2 linked regions of the Bombyx mori genome follow. The protein of the gene in region 1 purifies or fractionates together with the protein of each later gene. This does not show direct contact. Links are inferred from orthologs where the notes say so. Each region holds a gene or a part of one and is shown on either strand. Other genes may lie near its edges.

Region 1 (10,658 bases):
TCTTCTTTACGCCTTTGGCGATCAGAGATCATAACAGCAAATCGATAATCTCATTATAATATGGCTAACCTAACCTAATCAAGAGCGAAACCTTTTCATCTAAAATTGCACACACAGCACGATACACAGACACGACGATCCTTTTGATATTCCACCAAAGCTCTTATGAAGCAAAAACTACGCACTGCTCAAAAATTAACTAAGCAGTTAGTTACTAAACATATAATCCATTATTCGAAAAATATAGGTTTTTTTTTTTCAATAATTATCACACTAGATATATTATTATGATATAATCTAAAGCGACGGTTAAAAAGTGAGGTCAATGAACTTTCGTGATGAATTCAGTCAATCGATTCAAAATTATTGCTGATTTAGTATATATTAGCTCCGTATTTCTGAACTCATAATACTGTAATTCATTGAACGACGTTGCCCTATTTATTATGAGCCACTCAGTACTTTATCGTTTAGTTAATTAAAAAACACTCACACAAATTTGTACTTTTCGTTACAATTAAAAAAAAAAAAGGATAAATAATTCGTATCGGTTCGCCAATGTAAATACTTTTTTTGCGTTTTTTGCAAGATGTAGCTCGATTTTAATAAATAATCGAACAATACGATGCCCGTAAATTTGCATATCAAAATAACGTCATTTATTAACCGACTTTAGTACTGAGCGGTCGGCATTATGCAAAACATTCAAAGTGCAGTCGAACAAACAATAATACTTAATAAATTTTAGGTATATATTTCAGATATGTATTCGCAAATTAATTCACGCATCGATTTAATATGTAACTAATATGAATTAACGTGATCCTCAATGTTCGGCAAGTGACAAACTAAGTCCTATGTAAGTATAAAAATATTTATATCTCTTTATTGCCACTGTAATTTGAGATCTACTCAATTACGCTAAAAAACGCTCTAATCTTATACAAACGCGCCAACAATAGTTTAAAACAGGTACTACTTTACAAATGTATATGTCAATTGTAACTAACGCACTATATTAAGGGTGCAACAAAATCTCTATACATATAAAAATGACTTATAAAAAAAAACGTACATTAACAAACAAAACGACATTCAGAAATGAATACTAGTGGTATGTATGTATATACTAAATCATATGATATACCGCGATACAAAATAATGTTTTACAAACAAATTCAAACTAATACCATTAAGTATTCATACCGTAGACGAACTCTTTAACTCATCATTAAGTTAAAATAGATTCTGTAATGTAAGTTCACAGATAAACGACACCGCGTGCAAACATACGTCGTAAATACTATGAAATCGAATGTTTAAACAACAAACAGCAGAGAAAGTTGGCAACACTAACAATCCGGAATATATTTTAACAAAAGCAACACTGAACATAACTTTGCTGTATTTCTAAAGTCGAAAACAGTTTTGTTTACGTAAACAAATATTCTATTCAATTAAAGTTTTACGACTTAATTACTAGAACACAGTTCTTCCAAGAGGCATATTTATCATATTATGTCGAAAGGATTTAACAAATTTTACATATTTTCAGTAATATCAACAAATTTATTTTACATTACAATATTGTTTTAATATTTCTTTAGCACATTTCTAAAGTATCGTTACGTTATTTCTCGACACGTAAAAGCCATTTTCAATTACTCATTACATTTACTTAACTTGTTCTAATACATAATCTGCAAATGAAAAATGCAGTTACGGTGGGATAAATACAGAGTATTATAATTATATATATATTTCAACAATTCAACGTAACGAGACCAAACGAGATGTACTATTTTAGAATCAGGCACTTTATTTCTTCAGTTGGCAGTACAATTTTATTCGATTATTTTAATAGTCGTCTTGGAGGTTTGAGTTTTGGTGATTTGGATCATGTGTCAAGTAAATAAGTCGTAAAGTGTAATAATCGGGTCGGATCTTGAGCGTTTGTTGTCATCGGTGCGTAGGGAATTTTATAGCTGTTTGGTTACATGAAGACGAACACGATATCGGGACGATTCATTCTTGTTTGCATCGATTTACATTTTTGGACAGGACGTGTTATGATCGTATCGACAGATCAGAAAATATTTTTAATATCTTTTATAGAAAAATAACATATCAGCTCTTTGTTTAGGGTTTTTTTTTAAATTAAACAATAGCTTCTTTTCTAAATAATAATTAATAAATATATTTATGTAAGATCTCAATTAGTATGTACAGAAGCTAAAGTTGAAACATCCTTAATGTGTGTTTATCAGAATAATTGGAGTTCAACCTCTTTAAAAAACCAGTTACGGGTAGTTCTTGCAAGCGCGTCCGTGCGTTCATGGACAGCTGCACCAACAACGACCCGTATCCAATTTGATAAGGAAACTGCCTTCTGTCGCGAACTGTGCATCTGTCCTGCCCACACCCGCCAAGCAACTATGCTTATTCAAGGTAGCTTCACGGTTCATTCTACGGGCGGTAACAAGCATACAAACAATTCAGTGCAACATTGTATAGTCCAGATTTCATACTATACAATTTTTTTATTGCTTAGATGGGTGGACGAGCTCACAGCCCACCTGATGTTAAGTGGTTACCGGAGCCCATAGACATCTTTTTTTTATTTATTGCTTAGATGGTTGGACGAGCTCACAGCCCACCTGGTGTTAAGTGGTTACTGGAGCCCATAGACATCCACAACATAAATGCCGCCACCCACCTTTGAGATATAAGTTCTAAGGTCTCAAGTATAGTTACAACGGCTGCCCCATCCTTCAAATCGAAACGCATTACTGCTTCACGGCAGAAATAGGCGGGGTGGCGGTACCTACCCGTACGAACTCAAGACTACCACCAGTAAAATAATATACATGAGACCTTGTATAGAAATATTACACCGTTACTAATTTTTTATTTATTTAAAGAGCTGTTCAAGATTCGAGCCGGTGCTTTTATTATTTTTTTTTTTTTTGTAACCGATCCCCGATATTATTTCGTCGAACGCTCAAGATCCGAGCCGGTGCTGTTGTTATTATTATTATAGTGTATTAAACACTGCCACGCCTGGGAAGACGGCAGGACACACTCCGGCGAGGTGGGCAACAATCGGCCGGAGCGTTAGGGACTATTGGGAGAGAAACCGGCGAACTATACGGGCATTGTCGAGCAAGACTGCTTTTTGCATTTGGGCCACCACCGACTTTTTATTGAGACCAAGCCTCTCGAGATGTTTTGAGAGACTTTTAGGGACCAAACCATTCACCGACACAACTACCGGGATTATTTCTGTAGATACCACCCTCCACATATCGGTCACCTCGTGCGCCAGGTCCAAATATTTGGTCTTTTTATCTGCCTCGGCCCGCACGAGGTTCTCGTCGTAGGGGATGGTGATATCCACCAGAAATACCCGAGACTCCGTCTGGTCCATCAGCACGATATCAGGCTTATTCGCAAGAATAGTCCTGTCCGTAATGATGGGCCGGTCCCAGTAGAGCTTGGCACGGTCGTTTTCGAGTACAGCGTCCGGCTGGTACTTATAATACGGTAGCCTCTGTTCGATGAGGCCATACTTAAGGGCGAGCTCTTGGTGGAGGATTCTGGCTGCTTGGTTATGTCTGTGCAAGTACTCAGTGTTAGCAAGCATAGAACAACCAGAGGTGACATGTCTGAGGGATTCACCCGGTCGGCGGCATAATCGACAGATGTCAGCTGTCCCATCCCTCAGAATGTGCTTCCTATAGTTGTTCGTCCTGATAACCTGATCCTGTATTGCACAGACAAAACCCTCGGTTTCCCCAAAGAGGTCACCGAATCGCAGCCAGTGCACGGAGGCTTCTTTGTCCACGTGGGGCTCATGCAGTGCCTGAAAGAAGCGTCCGTGCAGCTCTTTCCCTTTCCATATGGCCTCACGGTCAGAGGTACTGAGTACCGCCGGTGATTGCCACCCGTCTCTGGCCAGGGCTAGCGGGGTCAGTCCTTTGTCGCACTCCATGACCTCTCTGTGCATCACACTGTCAGCCCTCGATAGGAAATATTTCCTGAGACTGCACACCCCACTGTTGTGCATGACCTTGGCGCTATTATTACATTATTATTATTATTATTATTATTTTATTACTTATTATTATTATTATTATTTTAACCGATTCCCGATACTATTTCGCCGAACGCTCAAGATCCTTTCCGTGCTTTTATTATTATTATTATTTTTGTAACCGATCCCCAATATTATTTCGCCGAACGCTCAAGATCCGAGCCGGTGCTGTTATTATTATTATTTTTTTGTAACCGATCCCGATATTATTTCGCCAGACGCTCAAGATCCGAGCCGGTGCTGTTATTATTATTATTATTCTTTTTTTGTAACCGATCCCCGATATTATTTCGTCGGACGCTCAAGATCTGATCCGATGCTTTTATGGAGGCAGTTTATCTGCTGCGTCACGCGTCCATCACGTGAGCCGGCACGAGGGCAGCCGGCCGCACGACGAGTGCCATCGCCTCTTGTGCTGCCCCGATCCTCCGTCAGACAATTCCGCAGTCGACATCGTCCGGGAGCCGCCGTCACCCAGCCCTGGAAACGATTAAACAAACGATAAAAAAAATTAAGAATCAATCTCACCTTTTTTTTCTACCTATTCTCTAGTAACCTCGAGGAGTTATTCTAGATTCACCGAGCTAGTAGCTGAGCTCACGGGGCTCAAGCAAAGATTATACAAAGATTTAGCGATTTAAATTTGAGTCACTATTTAATACTATAGAAGAAAAAAAAATTGACTCTTACTACTGGATACATACATACACTTTTTTTTTCGTACCTTATCTGATAGCCTTGAGAGGCTGTCAGCGTAACTCTAACGTGTAGGTGATCTCACGGGGCTCAAGCCGGGAATGTTGCTAACACTGGCCCTAGCAAGAGCAGTGCTTCGCAGAATCTATCACCGGATCGGAAACGCAACCCACTGAGAAGATCCGGCGAGCAACTCAGTGGACTGTGCCTATGGGTTAATTTACTCGTCGAGCCCTTCGTCAGAAGAGACGGGTTCGGCGACGGTGATCGATAATCTCACAATGCACTTATGTATGTATAGACATTATCTTTTTTTTTATTAATCTCACGGCGGACTTGAGTTTTCTATGGGAGAGTTTTTCGAATACATGCGTTTAAGACGTTTTTTTTATTATAACGCAATCAGTGGTAGGAGATCGCCTAGTATATCGCGGATTCGTCGCTTGTATTCGAGAAACTATGTACATATTCAGCATAGTATAAAAAAAGGTTTTATGAAAGCGATTTTTTTCAGTAGCGGGCTCTTTGTTAATAAACTCTATTTGGATTTAATAACACGATTAAACAAGATATTAGTGTTTATTTACTTGTCTTGGGATGTTTCTGACACTTCTACGATATGCAAGCATTACAGTTTTTTTTCATAAATGTTATTTTATTATTATTTGTTATTGTAATATTTCGGGCGATTGTAGTATATCACTCTTCATGCAACGAACCTAACTGAGAGAACAAACGCGTGCTCGGACTGTTCCGGAAACGCGCAACCCATCGCTCTCTGCAATATCAACAATTTCATTTTTCAAAAAATATTATGTTAGTTTTTGTAATATTTTAATCATAATAATGTATGCTTAAACAACTGTACATTATTACGAAACAAAGATATAAAAATACTGTTAGAGACTAATTGAATATGCAATATCGAAAAGGGCACATCTCTGAAAAAGTAAAATGTTCAGGAAATGAAAAAAAAAACTGATTATTTTCTAAAGCAGTGTAAAATTTAAAATATTAACTTTTGAGATATATTTTAGTGTTAATTAGCAATTGAAAATTACTAGAATTATTATAAAATGGGTGTAGGTAAGCCTCAAAACTACATGTATATGAAAAAAAGTATTTGACAAAATATGCGACATGTGCCTTTTTCGAAATTGCATATTCAATTAAAAGGAGTGGCCGGCTGTGGCGCTAGTATCGCAAATTTAATGAAGCGGAGACTCCACGCTACATACATTGATTAGGGTAGATAAGTTTATCTTCACTTAATTTGGGAATTGGGGGAGGTGGACGACCTTAGCCCTCCTCGTCTCCCTCTTTCTCTCTGGAGGCGCCGGAGTCGGACATAGCCCGGTCCGTAAATAGATTCTCCAGCGTTAAAAAAAAAGGATAAATAAGTTCATGGTCGCCTACTTTGTCTCATCAGATTTAATGTTATTACATTTCTTTGTGGATAGTGTTAAACATTGTTATATTAGTAATTTTGTAAATATATTGTTACAATTCTCTAATTTCAGAGGAGAATCATACATTTTATTAAAATTATAAACTATATAAATTATTAAAAAAAATATTTGATATTTTAATCCTGAGCAACGATATTAGTTAATTACGCATTAATATCTTGAACTAGCAATTTGATTATTTTTTTGGCAAATTCCGAGTTGTTTGTATCTCCAATTTTGTGAAAATCAGCGCGCTGTCAATTCTTCTCAGTTTATAAAATGAGAGTAATTTAATCGTGAACAAATAAAGCAAACATGCGTGAATAAAGTGAATGATTAAAACGAAGGATTTGTAAATTTATAATACACATAAACCTTCCTGGTCAAACAAAATCTATTATTTACATTTCGATAATGGACGTTACACGCGATAAAAAGTTTCATCAAGATTTTTGTGACGATAGCATAAAATAAAATTAAGTTCATTGTAAGGCCTAAATTATTAGACGCCTGCGTGCTTAGTGCGAGTTTTTTAAAAGCACACTGATGTACCTACTCGTGTTGAACGATTTACGATTTTTTTTCAATGAAATACGTACTTAATCCAATGTTCACAAATGACTTACACAATGAAGGAAGGATAAATCAAATCCGCAACAAATATTATTTGTGTTATTAGTGATAATAGGGCGTATTGTGAACCGACATGAGCAAGTACCATAATACCTACCTACTACTGCCACAAAGCAGAGATCCGATTCAATTCAAAGGGTGCGAGAGCCAAATTAGAGAATAATGTTTCAAAGTGTGTCTCCGGTAACTACTTAACATATCAATAATAAAAAGATATACATAATAAAAATAATGAAAAAGGATCACAAATCACTGTAGTTGCCCACAGTTTATTCGGTAAGTAGGTCACGATCCTAAGCTACATTTACTTATGGGATGTACAGTTTACGAGGTTTAACGACACATTGGACACGTTGCCAAAAAGCCAGATGACAATTTAAAGAAGCCGGTAACAGGCTAGGTATGCGGAAGAAGGCCCAAAGGCAGAAGCCCAATGCATTGGTCGGACCAGATAAACTCTACTCTCAATACTTCAGTTCATTATGCCATCCGCTCGGCCAAGGATAGGAAGGTCTGGCGCAGGATAATCCAGGAGAAAGTTATTAAAGGAGCCTACGACCATCAGCATTTAGGATTATCGACGCAAGGAGGAGGAACGACAAAAGGAAGATCTTCTACCGAGCGGTTCAAATTGCTTGGTAGACAGGCCTTTTTTCCTACCTTAACCGTTTTTTTTTTATTGCTTAGATTAGTGGAGCTCACAGCCCACCTGGTGTTAAATGGTTACTGGAGCCCATAGACATCTACAACGTAAATGCGCCACACACCTTGAGATATAGTTCTAAGGTCTCAGTATAGTCACAACGGCTACCCCACCCTTCAAACCGAAACGCATTACTGCTTTACGGCAGAAATAGGCGGGGCGGTGGTACCTACCTGTGCGGACTCACAAGAGGTCCTACCAGTATTCAGCGTAACTTTAACCAGTAGGTGAGCTCACGGAGCTCAAACCTGACGACGTTGCTAACAAGAACCCTAGCAAGAGCCTTGCTTCGGAGGGTGTAGACAGGCCGTTCGAATGTGGTTCTTCGGAACTATATATGAAGACTTATTTTGAAAATATTGTTAGGGAGATTCAGGAATCTATCAAATATCTTGTGTTGTACGGTAGGTTCCGCTAACGACTACAGCTAACTAGCTACAGCTAACAGTAAGAGAAGTCTAATAAATAACACTTCTGTGAATTTTATTTTGTTCGTGATTATTGATGGTTATTTATCGTATTTAAAAATTTGCCATTTACGCAAAATTACGTAATTGATTTAAATCGCTGAGTTCATAAATAATCAATACATGTATTTTAGTCACGTCCTAATATTATCACATCTCAGATATATTATGTAATAACGATAGGTCTATATCGGTATTCTATAACGACTATATCGGTATTATGTGAAACAGTGAATTTGCTATGGCTTCCGTGAACATTTCGTTGCGTAGACTTTACACAGTCGAAAGAAAGTGCAAGAAATTGACATTATTAACGAATTTTTTTTTAACTTTTGCAGCAATTATCATTATTTAGTAAGACAATAGGTTGAACATTTAGTTAAATAAACCGGGGTTTATGATTTCCATTGTTGATTTGAAATCGGATTAAAAATGGCGGCATTGAAGTTTTTTTTTAATATGTCAACTCGACAAATATCTTTTTACTAGTAGTCCCGCAGTAGTCGAAATTCAACTTTAATTAATTGAAATTATAAGTTTGAACATTATTATGGTTCTATTGTCAAAGACAAAGAAAATATATTTCTATAATCACAAATTTCGCCAAGACTACATACACTATAGAAAAATAATATTAAAGATAAACAATATTAATCTATTCTCAATTTGACCAGAATTTAAGCAATAACAAAAATTTTACAACAATATGTGTGTGTTTATATATGCGTGTGTGTGTGTGTGTGTGTGTGTCAAATACATGTGTGTATAATATATATTTTTTATTGATTTAAAGTATTTTTTGGGAATAATTTAAAAAAAAATTAGCATTCTGCACTCCTCTATATTATCTATAAGTGTAGGAAATTTCATACTCCTTAGCCCGCGCAATTTTCGTAAAAAGTTTTGCTAAGTATTAATTCACAGATTAGTGTAAACCAACCTTGCCGCAGGTCCCTTTCGGTGAAGTATTCCTGCGCAGAAGCGTAATGCCTCTCGACGAGATACGGTATTACAGTCGAAGTGTGAAGCTCGTCGGAACGTCGAGATCTCGGATTCACTAGTTTCTCGCCCGGTTCGAAGGGCGGTGTTGCCTGCACCCATCTGAGGAATTTATGTCGAAATGTTTTTTTTTAACACGTTGACCAGGCCATGTAGGTCACCGGTGTCCTACACGGCGCCCTGAAGTAATTATATCGATTTTCTGTTACTAAGTTTTTTTGTTTGTTAATGCATATTTTAGTATTTTAAATCTCTTAGAAATAAATTCATTCTCATTATCTTCAGATTCGTCTTTCGCATAGTGTACTAGATGTTCCGCGCCTTAGTAAGATAATCGAAGAGAGAAATCGATATAATTACTTCAGTGCGGTCAACGTGTTAAATCATAAAATTTCTTATCATCATTATTAACGGGAGTCGTTTCGCTTCAAGTTTTACGTGATGTGCTGTCATAATTCGAATTTGATCAAGATTTACGTGATGTATTTCAATGATTCTATTCTATGAGGTACATATTATTATGACTGATTTTTGAAATAATCGATTTTATAATTTTAATTTAATTTCATAAGCAGTTTTTTTTTTCTGTAACAGACAACAAAAAACGTTCTTCACAGATATTCTTTGTATATTTACATTGTATAGCGTCAAGAACACAAACACACAGTTTATTGTTACAATTTTATTGTTACATACTATCCAATTCCGACGGTTTTTAATTGTATCCGTAACATCGAACGTGAACGACACCCAATCGAAGACAATCTGTGTGCTTAATGCGAGTTTTATAACGTTCTCGATAGCGTAAAAGTTAGCTCATATTTGTATGGAATGGGATAGTTTGCCGACGTTTGCCGTTAGGGGCGCTGTTTCAACTGCATAGGTAGAAAATTGGGATACCTTTTACGCTATAGAGAACATTAATAAACTCGCACTAAGCACACAGATCTAATGCATTACTTCTATAGTTTTATATTTTCTTTGGTTGTCGCGAGTCGAATACATAAGACTACATTTACGATCTTAATATAGTGTTTACCATATTTTACATTTGACATAAGTACATAATATATAAACAGTATTCAAATGTCGACGAACAACACCTCAATAGTCCGTGATCACGTAAACTGTAAAATAACCGACACGTCGGAAATAACAAAAAGAAAATATAGGAAACGCGAAATTGATACGTAATGGTATTTATTTTGCTTCTATAATTTCCTAAAAATTTTGATAAGAGATAAATATATTGAGTTGTAAGCTGTAACTGATTACGTTTCAGTTAGACCGTATTCGGTATTAATTAACATCGGTCACGCTTCGATTTCTTCACACATTTATTGAAACGATTCACGCGCAAATAAGAGCTATTTCTAGTGGTGGTAGGACTTCTTGTGAGTCCGCACGAGTTAGATAACAAATACCACCCAGCCTATTTCGGCCATGAAGCACTAATGCGTTTTGTTTTGAAGCCGTTGTACTGTAGAAACTTAGAACTCATGTGTTAAAATTGAGTGGCGACATTTACGTTATAGAAAAAAAAAACAAAGACATGCCAACTTCTGTGAAATGCGAACCAACTGTACAAAGTTCCGACTCATTTATATATAAATGACGCT
Region 2 (9,436 bases), on another chromosome or scaffold:
TACACGAGCCATTAATTTTTTTCAACGAAAACTTTTTTAATCATAACGGGATCGCCTTAAATTATTGCGTGTAATCTTTTCTGACTCCCTTTGTTCTTTCGTATAAAAAATGGTTTCCCACACTATTTCAAAAACAAATTAAATTATGACGTCTAACCACCTTTTGCCTTCAATTCAGTTTTTATAGATATTGGCAATACCAGAAGCAAAGCGATCCAAATCGCACCAACTTTATTTTGTTTTTAATTTCGTAGTAGGTATAATAACGTGATTTAAAAATGAAGCTCGGCGTTATTGTTTGTGATCCTTTACATTTGCACCCAGCAAAATGAAATCTCTAGCAAAATTTGTCTCACAACATTACATACAGAATGCGCAAGTCACACTGCACCTGCATGATTCTTTTTTTATTTAATCCGAGGATTGCATAACATTTTTTGTTTCTCAGTCTATCGAAATTTGTTTAATAAATGCAACTGTGTTTAATCCAAAGCGACGTGCTTTTACACTGCATCTTTCCATAAGTGGTCCTTTATTTCCGAACAGTCCACAAAATCAACACTGGCGACTATGCAACTACTGATGCCAATAACCCATGAGTAACTTATTTATTTTATTTAATGGGCAAACGAACTCATCGTTACATATAACAATTAGACCACATATTATGTACATACCTATTATCTAAAGGTGGATAATCACTTTTCAATAATCTCGGGAAACAAGTGAGCAACGTCTAGAAAGCAAAGAAAAAAAATCAGAATCCTTTAAGCTTGATGATAATGATCTTTGATATATAACTAACGAACTGTTCACACATTAGTTAAAACACACAATATTGGTTAAAAAATAATTTTAAAACGTACCTACCTATGTAGTATTTTTCTTACTTTCTTTGATAAGTCAGAAGAACATAACTTTTCACTACGAAATAAATACGAAATCATAATATTCGAATTTATTTTTAAAATTCCGAAGTCACTCAAAATCCGATCTCAGTTTTTTTTTTTATCTAAAGCGAATAAACTTTATTAGGAAAGTGGGATAAAGGTTTGATACAAAAAATACTATATTGTGAAAGGTCGCCCTGTGTCGCTTTACAAAAACTTTGTTATCGTAGACCCCTCTCATTTATTTTATTTTTTTTCACTTTGATAGGTGCGGTGCGGCAGGTAGACGAAAAATCTCGCAAACTTTGCATAGGTATTTTAAGATTTACATTTTTTTATGATGAATGACATTATAGTGAAATGTATAAAGTAAGAATGTATAAATGTACGATTTCTTCTCTGCAGAAATAGGCGCTGTGAAGACAATACGCCCTTCCACCAGTAGATGCTGATTAAATATCGCAGGACACTGGTATGACAATCAAAGAACACTCCTGCCCGTTCTATTAGCTGTTATAACCTCGCCTTTAACGACATTCACGTTAAGAAGTAGCCTGGTTTTAGTCTAAGCAACACCAAACGGACACGGTTTTCGGTATAGAAATATAATAAAAAATGAATGAATAGATTAGTCTTCTTGAAACAACTAGCACTATGAATCTCTGTGCTCTGAGAGGCATTGAAGTTATAATAGACACCATGGTACCTCTTAGTGCCAGTTATGCAAATAAAATCGTTGAAATGTGAGACGTTCCTACTCAATAAAAAAAATTGCAACAAATGATTACACAATGTAGCATTCTACACGAATAAATTTTACGATGAAGGAATAAGATTTCAGAACTATAACTCTGCGAATGTACCTACTGCATTGTGTTTCTCTCCCTACCTATTCGCTGGTAGCCTAAGGGGCTATTCCAGCTACGCCCGGACTAGTAGGTGAGCGCACGAGTTCAACCTGGGAGTATTTGCTAACACTACCCCCAGCCAAAGCAGTGCTTCGCGGAATCTACCACCGGATCGGAATCGCCACCCACTGAGAAGATCCGGCTAGAAACTTAGTGAGCTGTGTCTGTAGGTTAGTTCGCTCGTCGAGTTCGACAAGGACGGGGGGCGGTGCTCGAGAGGCCTAAAAAACCCGAGAGTGAATCCTGGGGATCCGACAAAACATGTTTCGGGCGACGGCAGTTTTGCGTTACCCCGTCGCGGTCGAATATGACATTGTGATATAGCGTGCTTTTTTTAGTGCTTGCGAAGGTAGACTATGGTACGTTTCTGCTGTGAGTGAACAGTAACGGATTTGATTTTCTCCGTTGCGGTACCTAAGTCAAACCCTACTTCTGCATCGAAGACAAGACGCTGCTCGTCCACAATGAACCAAAGAGACAGATAAAACAGCGCGCATGGTTCGCTATGTCCACGTCGCGTCGCAATCATACTAGTGGCCCTTTGCAATGCTACCCTGGCTACCCAGCCTCAGTAGCTAGTAACCTCAAGCTTTTCACGTTCACTCACGTTCGGTGAAGCTAGTACATAATATTGTCCATAGATAATAATATAAATAATAATTATATTATATAAAATAGTAATTTAATATTTAAGAATAGTCTCTCAAGCTTCTTACAACTTACGCATAGTTGTTAAATATAGCCACTGACGTATGAAACCTAATAGCACATATCGTAACTTGTAAGACAGCAGTGTTTGATATCTGATGTCAGTGTCAGTAATCTTATGTCGATTTAAAAAACTCAGACCTTTTTGGCGGGAGTGCGAAGAGTGAATTTGTTTGAATTTTTTATGTTTTTCATTTAGTGTTTCTTTAAGTTTCACTGTGTAATAACGGTGGCTTATTAACTATTGAGTATCTTTGAAAGTCCACAAATGTGGTAAAATAACAAAGCTACTGAACGTACATAGCTAATCGGTTTTTTTCAAAAAATTCACTGAAAAACTCTTAAAAAGTATTAACCTTTTTACTGAGACTTTATGTTTAATTTCATTCCAATTGATAAAGTCTCAAAATAATCAACTGCATCTCAGTTCGCTATCATATCCATATAATAACGGAATATAAAACTTGGCTTAAAGGTCTTGTTACAAGGCCATATAATATTAAAAATAAATAAAAAGAAAACAAAACTCATTAAAATCAGCTGGATAAACCAAGTCGGCCAATACATTAAATGTACATACATTAAAATTAATAGATTTTTTTATTTTACTCATAATTCATAATTTGGACCTGGTTAATTATTTTTTAATCAAAATCTTTCATTCATAACATGGAGTACTCTAACAAGGTAATAGCAGTTTGCTTTTGTGCATTTTACTAGACTTTTCACTATTAACAAAATCTTTGAATTTCCTTCAGAATTTTCCAGAATTGAAAAATGATAGACTACTTCGAGCAGCTTTAGGAAAAAGTGTTGACAAAGTCCCTGTTTGGGTAATGCGACAAGCTGGAAGATATTTACCAGAATTTCAGGAAGTCCGAGTTAAACACGATTTTTTCACGGTTTGTCGAACTCCAGAATTAGCTTGTGAAGTAACACTGCAGCCGCTCAGAAGGTATGAGCACTTGGATGCATCTATAATATTCAGTGATATTCTTGTGATACCACAAGCACTCGGCATGACTGTTGAAATGCACCCTGGAGTCGTAAGTAAAATCCAATTTAAAAATGCTCTACCCATTCTTGACATCATTACAAAAAAATGTATTTCTAGGGTCCAGTATTTCCTAAACCACTTCAAACCCCATCAGAAATAGATGGTCTCCAACCAGAAGGTGCAGTTTCAAGGTTGGATTATGTTGGAAAGGCTATCACACTGACAAGACATAAAATAGATGGTAAAGTTCCCTTGATTGGCTTTACTGGAGCTCCGGTAAATATCACAAATATTTAGGTATAATTTGATGCCATTGAAATATACTCATGTATTTAATTAATTTTGGGATAAAATTTTAGTTTACACTATTTGGATACATGCTAGAGGGTGGAGGAAGCAAAACAATGTCTAAAACAAAAGAATGGCTCGAGAAGTATCCTAAAGATGTCCATAGACTCCTTTGTCTTCTTACTAATGTTATAATTGACTATGTGGTGATGCAAGTAAGTTTGAAATAGTATATTTTTTGCTAAAAACATAATCGATCTTAATGTATCTTGAAAATCAAATATATTTGTTCAAATGGAAATGTATATAATTATATGTATATGCATGTATAACTGAAGGTGGAGAGTGGAGCGCAACTTCTGCAAGTATTTGAATCAAGTGCAGATCACCTCTCAAGAGAACAATTTACTGAGTTTTCTATTCCATATTTGAAAGACATTAGAAGTGGAGTTAGAGCTAAACTTACAGAAAAATCTTTAGAACAGGTTCCTATGGTAAGTTATTTATAGTAAAATAACTTGTAAATAACATGCTCTAGAGATAATCACACAATTAAGAATACTTATTATATTATTTTCAGACCATATTTGCAAAAGGAGCTGGACATTCCTTAGATATTCAAGCTCAATTAGGTTATGAAACCATTGGACTAGATTGGACAGTGGATCCTACTGAAGCCAGGAAAATTGTAGGTGAAAACATTACTTTGCAAGGAAATCTTGATCCTCAGGATTTATACAAAACTCCTGTACGTAATGTATTATAAATTCTTCTGGTGACGTAAACTTTCATTTCATTCATTTCAGTGTCATGAATAATGATGACAAGCTTTTTTTATAAAACCCAGATTTAAAAATTTTTTTTGTTAAACCTGAGTTAATGTGCCGTACTTATTCATTTTAGCTTGTCTTAAACTTAACTTTGAAAAACAAAATACTTTTTAACGCAATAACTAAATTTAAGAAATTACACTTTTCATGTATTTTACTTTATTTACATTAGTAAAATCGAATTAACAAGAAATTAAGATGAAATTAGACATGTTTTTAAGAATTATTTCTTTGCAGGAAGAAATAAAAACACTTACAACTGAAATGGTGAAAAAGTTTGGAAAACATAGATACATAGCTAATTTGGGTCATGGGATTACACCACAAACCCCACTTGAGAGTATGACTGTTTTTACTGAAACAGTACATGAAGCTATATAAGAAGAATATTTTTATGCATGTTATATGGTTGGGAATTAAAGAATTTGCTTGTTAATACAGAAAACTTTTATTCTTAGCATACAACAAATAACTTATATTACATTGTGTATGTTGTCTTCGTATTTTGACTTGTGCCGGGCATATCTTCATCGTGACTTCCAACTGATTTCTTCACATACTGTAATTATTTAATAAATTAATTACATAGTAGAAAAAACAAAAACGAAACTTTGAGAAATCTCCCTAGCTTAAAATAGGAGACATGCATTCTATTTGTATCAAGCAAAGCAACTATGCAGCAGTTCAGGTCCAACTTTTGTAAGAAAATACATAGGATTACGAAAAAAAAGAATTTAAATTTTAATTAACTTGGATTATTCTTTTCGAAAGGACTGATAATTACAGATGGTGACCAAAAATAATGAAAAGTTAGGAAGTAAAAATAAGAAAATATGAAAACAGTTCGTTTATAAAGTTCGATACTCAGTTAATGATTACCAGAGCGGTTGTTACCTGTGGATTGACTTGTATCTGAACATCCATTTCCTGTATGTACTGGTGAAGTTTAGTACAAGCAGCCATTTGCTGTTCTAAGACACACAATGTTTCCGGTGATGCATATTTTTCTGGACTATCTAGAAACACCACCATACCATCTTTTTGGTTAATCATTGCATATATTTCGCCTTCTTCAATCTGTCGAAAAACATTAAATGTGAAGTTTTGTGCCGTGTAACTCTTGTACTGTAAAGCTGAAATTAGTCGAATGTCTCTTTCTAGAGGTCGATGTGAATTGTTTCTTGCCCAGTACCTACTATACGTTTGAGTTTTGAAAACAGTAATTTATTTTTATTTTCTTTATATATTTATTTCTTTAGCGTCGCTTATTACCTACCGCACAATGGAAAACATGAAATGTTGCATGCATATTTACGAGTACGAGTTCTACCAGTGCTGCAGAAACAGCTCGAAGGATTAATGAAGCGTACGGCGCTGGTGTGGCAAAAGAAAGCACGGTACGGTTTTGGTTTCGACGTTTTCGTTCTAGAAATTTCGACCTTCAGAAACAATCGCGTGGACGACCGGAGACCACAGTGGAAATTGAAGAATTAAAGGCTATTGTGGAAGCGGATTCATCACAAAGCAATTCAGAGATAGCTGCAGGCTTCGGGGTAAGTGATAAAACTGTATAAATCCACTTGAAGCAAATCGGGAAAGTAAAAAACTTGAACTACAGTTTTCTAAAATCTGGCCAAACGATTACGGCAGATATCTATTGTCAGCAACTGCAAACCATAAAGGAAGAAATAGCTGCTAAACAACTGAGATTAGTTAATCGCCTACGCCACTGACATCCACCGTATTCCCCGGACTTTGCTCCGACATATTACCATTTTTTTCCCGGGATTTAGACAGCTTCTTACAAGGAAAAAAATTCAACTTCGATCCGGCAATCCAAACCGCCTTCAAAGAGTTTATTGATTTTCACCCCCATGGTTTTTTTAGTAAAGGAATTAATGCACTACCTATGATATAGCAAAAGTGCATAGATAACAACGGTGCATACTTTGATCAATTAAATATATTTTACAAAAATAAATTGACTCTTTATTCCTCCCGTACAAAACGCCAATATAATATTATTATGTTAATTATTTATTTTATCATAGAACGTTTGTATACTGTCAAGCTTCCCTTATTAATAAAACTAACTGCACGTCTTACAGAACATAGTTCTACAAAAATTTTTCAAGATACCTAATGTTATTGATCTTACCATATTAAGTATGTATGTTTCCGCTTGAAGAGGCCCAGATAATTCCACGCGAGAAGCGACATCGCTCAACGAAAGCGTTAAAAATGTTTTTGTCAATCTCTGAATATTCTTCTTATACATTGAATTTAAAACCTTAAAAAAAATTAGTTATAAAAGACTATTCATATTTTCCAAAATATAACACTACCTTAATTACACTGCATTTGAGTTAGTAAGTCATTATCAATCGAATAAATAAATTTTTCTATTTAATCTAAAGCTATTATTTCAAAACAGACCTGATTAACTAGTCCCATATTCTTGTCTCTGACAAATATCTCGCGGTGTTTGCTTGCAGCATGTTGGGATGCCACTAAATCATGATATGGCGCTGACAACGGTTTCAAAAACCGACAAACCACTTGAGATGTGTATTTCGGCATTGGCAAAACCTTTAAAAAGAGTTATTACTTAAATCATTATGTCTAATAAGAACAAAACTAAAAGTACATTATAGGAATAAAAAATTTATTAAATAGATTTTTGAAATAGAAATGAAAACCAAACAATTCTATCATGTCATGGAATTATTATTTTATACAAAATTTTTGTATAGCCAGGAAAACAACATAACATAAAATTGGATTCTTCGGTTTTGATCTTCCAATGGTACGACATGTATTTTTAGCATAGCTTGATTACATGCTTATTAAAAAATATATTAAGTTATGGCTTTAGTAAAAGTCCTGCTCACTGTATGGGTTTAAAATTGAGGTTGAAGGTATCATTGGAAGGAGTAACGTACCTTTCCATGAAGTATAAGAGACACTAAAATATATTTCTTGTATGCTTCCAACATGATGTGGGATACAACCATTGCCGGAACAGTCACTACAACTTCAAAGAAATACAAAGCTCTATCATAGTTTTTCATTGCTGTATAAATCATGCCCCCATAGTAATAATATAGTAGAAAATGTTTGGAATCATTAATACCGCCAAGCTAGAACAAATGAAGTTTTGTTAGCTAGAGTTATGAAATATAGTTTAGTTCAATAATATAATTATATTATTATAACTAATAATATTAATAATATAATAAATTAATAGTATAATTACTATTAACTTATTATATTATATATTTTATTAAATTAATTTAATAGTATAATTACTATTAACTTATTATATTATATATTTTATTAAATTAATTTAATAAAATATATAATATAATAAGTTAATAGTAATTATACTATTAATTTATTATATTATTAATAAATATATAATAGTCATAGCCTGATGATCAACCATCGCTACCGAAACACTAACATTTAATTATAATAAAAAATATACGCTAATTAAGTGTTCTCTCTTTTCGTACTTCGTAAATCTGTAATATTTACTGGTGGTAGGACCTCTTAAGTCCGCACGGGTAGGTACCACCGCCCCATCTATTTCTGCCGTGAAGCAGTAACGCGTTTTGGTTTGAAGGGTGGGGCAGCCGTCGTAACTATACTGAGACCTTAGAACTTATATCTCAAGGTGTGTGGCGCATTTACGTTGTAGATGTCTATGGGCTCCAGTAACCACTTAACACCAGGTGGGCTGTGAGCTCGTCCACCCATCTAAACAATAAAAAAAAACTGTAATACGTTTACTCTACTACCAACCCTTTTTTTTTTCTAGCTAGCTGAGAGCCTTGAGAGGCTATTTCAGCGTAACCTTAACTAGTAGGTGACCTCACGGGGCTCAAACCTGACGATGTTGCTAACACGAACCCTAGCAAGAGCCGTGCTTCGCAGAATCGACCACCGGATCGGAAACGCGACTCACTGAGAAGATCCGGCGAGAAACTCAGTGGGCTGTGTCTGAGGGTTAATTTACTCGTCAAGCCCTTCGTCGCAAGCGACCGGTTCGACGAGACCGATGACCGGTGCTTGAGGTACCTAGAAGCACCGTTAGTGGATCGGGATCCGAAATGACGTGTTGGGGGCGACGTCGACTGCTTTCCATTCTGTCCGCAGGATCTGGAATGTAGTTACCGGCGGCCACGATGAGAGGGTTCTCGTGTCGCCAATCCTTCAGAGGTAACACTATCATAATCATTTTTAAAGAATGAAGACAAATAAAGAGGATTAAAAGGCTACACTTTACCTCATTGCCAATCCCAGTGACGTCAGTGTCCAAAAACTCAAGAGCTGGCTTCATACATTTTGAGAGCAAACAGAGCTGGCAAAGATCAGCATGAATTGAGGTCAGCTGTGAATCAAACAATTGTATCTTTCTTATAGCCTTTTTTAATATTTCCAGGCCCCTTATTGGTTGTTTGATTTCTACCAAATGATTTGTGAGTAGATGACACAAATCTGCATCTGTAATTTTAGAAATTAAATACAATACAATCGTTTTTGTATTGCTCTAGACAGGGATCTCAAAGCCCTACATGTATTAAATGATTACTGCAGCCCATAAACTCAAAATACAAATTACACAAATGACTTTAAGACAAGGTTGAAGTTTTTTTTTATGAATTATATAGAGGCTATTTCACTAGTCTAGACTGCATGTCTGGAGGACTAAGTGGACTTGACTGGACTGGACTAGTGGTTAACAATATGCCATTCTAACAGTAATTTTTTTTGTGTTTCAAGCATTTTATAAATAGAGTGATTAATAATTAA

What was found.
Region 2: the proteins of Lkb1 (region 1) and COP9 signalosome complex subunit 3 purify together in Homo sapiens (affinity purification with mass spectrometry; 5 studies listed by BioGRID and IntAct, with this or other methods). This does not show direct contact. The link is inferred for Bombyx mori from reciprocal best matches to the Homo sapiens genes STK11 and COPS3.

Annotation. Positions count from the first base shown.
Region 1 is NC_085128.1:6,913,012-6,923,669, forward strand, and holds part of Lkb1 (serine/threonine kinase LKB1), read right to left. Parts: intron 9,142-10,658; coding exon 8,981-9,141; intron 4,574-8,980; coding exon 4,452-4,573; 3' UTR 4,067-4,451; coding exon of another isoform or gene 3,122-4,066; 3' UTR 1-3,121. Other genes in the region: uncharacterized protein LOC134200964, read right to left, coding at 3,122-4,066. UniProt on the Homo sapiens protein: Tumor suppressor serine/threonine-protein kinase that controls the activity of AMP-activated protein kinase (AMPK) family members, thereby playing a role in various processes such as cell metabolism, cell polarity, apoptosis and DNA damage response.
Region 2 is NC_085119.1:8,364,789-8,374,224, forward strand, and holds the end of COP9 signalosome complex subunit 3, read right to left. Parts: intron 9,128-9,436; coding exon 8,910-9,127; intron 7,762-8,909; coding exon 7,564-7,761; intron 7,211-7,563; coding exon 7,058-7,210; intron 6,912-7,057; coding exon 6,780-6,911; intron 5,699-6,779; coding exon 5,516-5,698; intron 5,181-5,515; coding exon 5,100-5,180; 3' UTR 5,046-5,099; downstream 1-5,045. Other genes in the region: uroporphyrinogen decarboxylase, read left to right, coding at 3,176-3,193, 3,265-3,552, 3,621-3,779, 3,863-4,006, 4,130-4,285, 4,372-4,539, 4,859-5,002. UniProt on the Homo sapiens protein: Component of the COP9 signalosome complex (CSN), a complex involved in various cellular and developmental processes.